2 linked regions of the Caenorhabditis elegans genome follow. The protein of the gene in region 1 interacts with the protein of each later gene in a pairwise test. Each region holds a gene or a part of one and is shown on either strand. Other genes may lie near its edges.

Evidence for each region. Proteins that work in one complex are often made in the same cells at the same time.
Region 2: the proteins of vps-39 (region 1) and xpo-1 interact in a two-hybrid assay, tested with the Caenorhabditis elegans proteins (one large-scale study listed by BioGRID).

The regions. Positions count from the first base shown.
Region 1 is NC_003283.11:14,036,687-14,040,440, reverse strand, and holds the start of vps-39 (Vacuolar protein sorting-associated protein 39 homolog), read left to right. Parts: upstream 1-2,068; 5' UTR 2,069-2,091; coding exon 2,092-2,164; intron 2,165-2,211; coding exon 2,212-2,277; intron 2,278-2,327; coding exon 2,328-2,536; intron 2,537-2,584; coding exon 2,585-2,727; intron 2,728-2,771; coding exon 2,772-3,064; intron 3,065-3,116; coding exon 3,117-3,485; intron 3,486-3,529; coding exon 3,530-3,754. UniProt on the Caenorhabditis elegans protein: Plays a role in vesicle-mediated protein trafficking to lysosomal compartments including the endocytic membrane transport and autophagic pathways.
Region 2 is NC_003283.11:7,802,910-7,806,663, reverse strand, and holds the start of xpo-1 (Importin N-terminal domain-containing protein), read right to left. Parts: upstream 1,601-3,754; 5' UTR 1,373-1,600; intron 1,322-1,372; 5' UTR 1,303-1,321; coding exon 782-1,302; intron 731-781; coding exon 1-730. Other genes in the region: uvs-1 (UV-stimulated scaffold protein A homolog), read left to right, coding at 2,979-3,041, 3,086-3,208, 3,257-3,355, 3,405-3,677, 3,727-3,754.

The DNA.
Region 1 (3,754 bases):
TTCGCATCGGGCAGGTTTTCCAGAACAGCTAGATTCGATTTCTTCTCAAAGGAATGAGCAGTAGATACCAGATTAATCGATTCGACAACTTTCTTCAGCACAGGGTTCTTCTTCATCACCGAGGAATATAGATCACGATTCGCTGGCTTCTGATTGTAGACATTGCTGTTTGAAAGAATTGACGGTTCAGTAGAGGGGCATTTCAGATATTCCATCACCACCAACACCTTCATCCACTTCTTCGCCTGGAACGACGGGATTTTCTACAAAAATCGGATTTTTTCTCTATGTCAGTTTAATTGATGTATAATTCCGAAAAGTCAGTCTTTCCTAGGTTTTTAAATTGAAACATTTCAGATATTCCATCACCACCAATACCTTCATCCACTTCTTCGCCTGGAACGACGGGATTTTCTACAAAAATCGGATTTTTTCTCTATGTCAGTTTAATTGATGTATAATTCCGAAAAGTCAGTCTTTCCTAGGTTTTTAAATTGAAACATTTCAGATATTCCATCACCACCAACACCTTCATCCACTTCTTCGCCTGGAACGACGGGATTTTCTACAAAAATCGGATTTTTTCTCTATGTCAGTTTAATTGATGTATAATTCCGAAAATTCAGTCTTTCCTAGGTTTTTAAATTGAAACATTTCAGATCGTCCACCACGTCCACCATCTTCATCAGCTTCTTCGTCTCCAGCTCCTGGATCTGCCAAAACCCCTATTTTTTTTTCTTGGTCAGTCAGATTTATGTAAAAATCCGAAAAGTCAGCCTTCCCTAGGTTTTTAAATTAAAACATTTCAGATATTTCATCACCACCAACATCTTCATCAACTTCTTCATCTCGAACTCCTGGATTTCCTACAAAAATCGGATTTTTTTCTCTTGGTCAGTCAGATTTATGTAAAAGTCCGAAAATTCAGTCTCCCCTAGGTTTTTAAATTGGAAAATTTTCAGATAGTCCACCTCCACCGCCTTCTTCATCCACTTCTTCGTCTCGAACTCCTGGATTTTGCAGAAAAGGGCGACCCACCTCCACTGCACAAAATGCGTCCGCTCTCTTAATAACTTTGTTAATATTTATTTTTTTTAAGTTTAATTATAATAAAGTGAATAATATTAATAATAAATTTTCCAATTTATAAACGTATTATATTGTCTTCTCAATGCACTGATGATGTGTAGAGTTCTGCTGATTTTCGATTCCTGAAAAAAAACAGGCTACGAATGTTTCCAAGTCGACTTGAATATTGTCTTTTTTCCCAGCTTTTTCCGAGGAGTGGCCCTCATGATATTTTGTAGTCTTATCTGTGATTTTTGGAATGTGAAAAAAATTTATTTTTTTTCAAGAATTTAATTTTAATTTTTTTTTTCAGCATTTTTGGTTAAAAATTTTCTTCCAAAATTTACAAATTCAGTGCGAAACGATCAATTTTCCATACAAAAATATTGGAGGCATGAAAAAACTAAATTTGAATGCGCGCGAAAAAAGTGTTCAATGGAGCGCGTTTACTCGTCGAGCACTTCGGGAAGAGGGGGTACGTTTTCGTAAGGGGATTTTTTCGTAAGGAACGCTTTCAGTAGGGCAATGTGCGGCGCGCCTTTTCGCAAGCCCGCCGCACAGTCCTTCGCAATGCGCCGCACGGCTTTTTGCAATGCGCCGCACGCTTCTTCGTATTTATTTATTTATTTTTCCAACAGGAAATTTCGAACGGAATTCAATTAAAAACGGATTTTTAATGGAAATTAATTAGTTTTATTCGAGCTAAATACGGATATTTTCAGAATTTTCGATGACAAAAACGGGTTTCAATCGATTTCGAATCGATTGCGAAGGACTGTGCGGCGGGCTTGCGAAAAGGCGCGCCGCACATTGCCCTACTGAAAGCGTTCCTTACGAAAAAATCCCCTTACGAAAGCGTACCCCCTCTTCGGGAACGATAATTTGAAGTCTGTTTTTTCGAGACACAAATAATTGTTTTGATTATTCGGCATTATTTATTTGCGAAAATTTATTCTTCTCTATATTACTGTCATAATTTTCAGTTTTAATTTCATTTCAGGTACTTCGACCCACCAAAGCAAAATGTACGATGCATACACGCCTTGCGAAGTAGCTCTCCGATTACCCGTAGAAGTAACATGTCTTGCATTTCAAGGTTTTCAATATCAAATCACTGGAATTTACAATCATGATTGCTTTCAGAATCGAATCAAACCTTGTTAGCCGGTGGAAGAGCAGGACATCTCTATGCATACACAATTTCAGCTAGTAATATTTAATCGTCAAGAAATCTATTTCTAAATATTGATAAATTACAGATCGTCGTGGATTCGAGCTCACAAATATCTGCAAAAGCTTTCACAAGAAAGCAGTAATGGAACTGAAAGTTTGCCAACGTGAAGATCTCCTTTTGTGCGTGTCCGACGGTCAATTGATGGCTCACAAGCTCAGCGATCCAGAGTATAAAGTTGAAACATTAATTCACAAAGTGAAGCCTGTTCAGACTTTTGCAAGATTTTCACCCAAGGTTCATTGGAAACTTTCCGAATTTTCTATTCAATATTTTTGTTTTCAGACATCTGGAGACCTGTACGTAATTGTTTCGTCACGAAAGAAGTTATATTTATTCAAATGGGGAGAGAAAGATGGCCACAAAGAATTTATAGAAGTTGCATTGGATTATAATCCAGTTTTCTTGGATACTCCAACATCTATAAGGTACAAAAGTTTATGAAACAAATTAAAGATAGAATAAATTACAGATGCGTTGGTGAAATGGTATTCTTTTCTGTTCGAAACGAGTATTTTTCTATGACAATGCAAAAAGATAAGACAACCACTTCGCCAAGTGAAGGTTCAACTCCGGAAGGATGGAATGGTTTTGTAACTCGTCTTTTAAATTTCAACTGTCAGCCTGGCATTGTGCCAATGATCGATCGAAGAAGAGTTGCATTTGTGAGGAATGAAATAGTTGTAACCACTGATATTTGGGGACAACGTCCGGCAAATGTATTAAGTGACGAGTACAAGTTCAGCGAAGTTCCCATGCAAATCGGTAACTTTATTGTGGAATTAAATTATTTAATTAGTTACCTATAAATTTCCAGTATACGATTCACCTTACTTGGTTGGAATGCTCTCAAAAGGCCGCGTCGAAGTTCGTTCAATTTTCGATGGTCAACTTGTACAGACAATGTCCCTCCCGAAGGCTATGACACTCTGCAGTGGTGCTCGTGGACAAGTGTTCGTCGCTGCTCTTTCCGATATTTGGATTCTTGATACTTCACAAAATCTTCGAAAAAACGTGTCTCATTTGATACAGGAACGTCATTTCGAGCTAGCAATTCAATTGGCTGAAAATTCGAATTTATTTGCAGAAGAACAGAAATTAGAAATTAAAAAGAAGGCTGCATTGAATTTATTCAATCAGAAGAAGTTTGACGAGTCATTCGCATTATTTGGAGAAATTAAAACCGGTTAGTGCTTCATTTCACATAAGAAAATTAAAATTTTTTTTGAGATATTTCAGAAGTGCTCTCAATTATTCGAATGTTTCCCGAGCTTCTTCCAGATGGATTTCAATCAATGACCGGAGTTGTCAGTGATATGCCTGCTAACGACAGAATGCGTGCTCTTTTGGCTCTCGGTAGTTATCTATCTGAAATTCGAACTGAACACGCGAAGCATATTGAATTATACAATCGTTTGTACTCATCGGGAGCGGCAAAGAAAACTGATGAAGATG
Region 2 (3,754 bases), 6.2 Mb from region 1:
TTGACGACGTGGATGCTCACGAACCTGACTCATCATTCCGTAAAGAGTACTTGGCTGAATGAATGGACATATACGGTAGAGCTCAGCAGTCAACCAGCACCAACAATCGAGGCAAACTTTGAAAACCTCCATTTCTTCGATCAAAGTGATTTTCAAAAGAAGTTGAATAGCATAGTCGTGAGATTCTCGCATTAAAATTTTAGCCTCAGTTAATGGCTCATCAGTTACTTCAATCAGATGAACGTGCTCTTTGATGAACGCGACAAGAAATTGAGCCAGACTACTGATGAGTTTCTGATCCTGATCGGAAGCATCTTTGTAGACAGCAGCCAGGTCGAGGTCCAAAGATAGAACTTGGCTAATGTGGCGCATTGTAGAGCAGAACATTTTGACAAGCTTTTCGTCGTAGCTGGGATCGTTGGTTTCAACTTGAATTTGTGAAATTTCCGTGAGACATTGAAGAGCGATGACACGATACACTTCAAGCGAAAGGAAGTTTTCAGACAGCAATTCCGTGATGTTTGTCTCGAAAACGTAGCCAACTGGAATCCAGGTGAGGAATCGTTGAAGAGTCTTCAAGGTAGCTTGAACCATAGAGTTGGATGGACATTTCTCGAGAATGCTGACACACAGTGTGAATACTTCTTGGAACTGTCCACAGAATTGTTGTTTCAGATGTTGTTCCTTGGCTTGGGTGAGGTTTTGGGATCCGAAATCAAATACTTCTTCGCTGAAAAATATAATAAATGTAGCAAAACATTTTAAAACTAATTCAAAATACCTCAACAAGCTCAGAATATTCATATTGTTGATGCAAACGGTCTCGTTGTTCTTCGATGAATCAACAATATCGGTGATGAATGTTGGCCATGCCTTTGGCCAATCTTGTTTGACAATTTGAACCAAAACGAGGTTCAACTTGTGAAGAAGCAGTTGACTTTGTTCCATGACACTCTGATCAGAAGACAATTCGAACATTTTGGTGATGATGTACGACTTGATTCCTTCACGTTGGACTTGTGGCAACGACTTCCATTTGTGTTGGATGACAGTCTCAAGGATTTGAAGTGCAAAATACTTGGACTCATTTAGCTGCGAATATTGAAGAATCGCATCGACTTTGGTCCACGAATCGCGTTCTTCCTTGAGCGACATGAGGATTTGGTTAGCCTCGGCCTGTTCTTTTCCGCTCATTCGATTCATAATCTCGACGACTTGATCCAAAAGAGTCACATCGATACGGTCACCTTGGGCGAATTGACGCTTCGCTTCAGAGAGCACTTCCATTGCTGAGACAGCCATGTTTTTTTATTGTCGGTTTCTGAAATTGATAGCATTTATTGACCAACACTATAAATATAAAATAACTTACCAGCGATCAAATTTCGCAAAAATCGGCAGTAGTTTCCAGTTCAGTCTCACACACTCACGCACACACAAAACTGGCGGGGTTCAGGCTCTCGCTTTTCGGGCAGAAATCCTGTGTTTCTCACAGTGAAGCTGGAAAATTAGGCCAAAATATCGTTTCACTCGCACACACACTCTCACGCTCTCTCACACAACCGACTGTTGACGATGGGACGATCGATCTAGCCCAGTTCTGAAAATAAGAAAATTATTTTTAAATTTGCAAACCAAAAGGTGTAGAAAATATATGTCAAGAGAGGGAAAAAATATTGACCTAAAGTTTGACAGAAATAAATTCAGAAACGGAAATTGGAGATGGGAGAAGACGAGAGATATTTCTTTCATCATCGTCACTTTTGACAGTCAAATGTTTCGAAATTACTGGATTGATAAGGATCTATTCAAGACTAGGAAGTGAGAAATGCTGAATGCAAAAGTTCGGCCAAACAAATCTCACTGCGAAAAATATTGTGTGCGACCTTGCTGAATTGGGACAGAGCGCGCGATGTTATTGTAAGCAACGGTAAAAAATCGATTGAGGACACCTCGATGAGTGCACCCGTCCCGCTTTGTCTTGTCACGTGATGTGCATGACTTGCGCCCTCTCTTTACGTTCGGAAAACATTGAAAACAAAGCGTAGGAGCTATTGAGGAGGGGTCATGTGATTTTTTTTCGCATGTTTACTTGTTTGCAGATACATGAAGACAGGAGAAGAAATTGAGAAACGGAAGGACCATTCTGAATATTTTTGGCCGAGACGCGCGTCGAAAATGTCGAAATGAGAAAGATTGAATGAAAATAGAAGCAACAAAATCGCCGCACGTGACACACTACACACCTATTATTTGCTATGAGAACGGAAAAAAAACAGCGGTGAAGCAGATTTTACGTGTGAGAGACAAAAAACGGAAGAAGTGGGAGAAATCGTCGGATTCATGCTCAGCGGCCATCCCAGTTTTTATCACAAGACACGCGCCGGCGCGCGCGGGGAAAGTCTCCTCGCGGCCTTTCCTGTTCGAATTCATCGCAGACGCAAAAGAGTACGATGGAGCGCATTTGACAAAAACTTTCGCGGCTGTTGGGTACTCGCGGACCTGATATTTCTGTGTTTGGTGAGAACGGAAACAACGAGTAAAATGTATTTTACTTACTTTTCGAAAGTAGATATTCACAAAAATAAAATGTGCTGTTAAATTTTTAAGTACATCTTAACGAATTATTTCGAAAATAATTTGATTGCGAAATTAAATTCATGTTTATACGCTGTTGTTTTCATCGTTCTTGTGATTTTCAGAAGAAAAATGAAGCCAAACTTGAGAACAAAGCAAGAAAAAATGTTGATAATTTTCGCTAAATAAAATTATTTCCCTTGAAATAAAAATTGGCGTCTAAACTTATCGGGAAACAAATAAAATGTTGAAAAGAAGGCAACCAAAAGTGAGGAATATTTGAAAAAAACAACCGTATCACCTATTTCGCTTCGAGACCTGTGAACGGTTTTCTTTGCATGCGCCTTTAAGATTATGATAGAAAACATTATTTTTGTTTTTGTTTTCAGTACTGCAGTTTTATGGATTCAATTGACAACTCCACAACAATAATAAGGAAGAATTTGAACCGATTCATACGAGAAGTGAGTTTTGGAACTAAAAAACAAAATTATGCGAAAGTTTTCAGCTGACAGATGATGGAAAGTTGGACTTTGAATCAATACCATATCAAAATTTGCAAAAAGAAGTGGCAAATCAGGACGAAGAAGGCTGCGAGAATGTGATAGAAGTATTGCTGGATACTACAAGCGTAAGATTCAAGATTAACATTAGAATTAATTAATTAAAACATTTTAAGAGATCAGGATGTCCCGATAGGAAACTAATTCTGCAACTGTTCAATAGCTTCTTCTTACAATTTCCAATATTTCGGGAAAATCTACTCAATGATCCATCAGTGAGTTTTGTGAAAGCTTAAATTAAACTAAAAAATTAAATTTCTCTAGGAATTTCTCGAATTAATGTTCGAAACAAACCCAATTCGTAACCCACTCCCTGGTTCGAAAAAACATGGAAATGAGCTGAAAGTCGAAGCGATAACAGTGATTAAAAGCTGGGAAAAGGAGAAGTGTGTGAAGAACGATGCAAGAATGAAATGTTTGGTGGTGACGTTGAAGAAGACAAAATTTGTAGACTATGAAAATGGAGCTAAGAAAATTGAAGCGGAAAGAAAACGAAAAAAGATTTTGGAAGAAAGAAAAATGAAAATGATTGAGAATGTAGGTTGGATATTTAACACATATTTAAAGAAATGTTAAAACTTTCCAGTCAGTCAACGTCTATTCTTCAAAATACC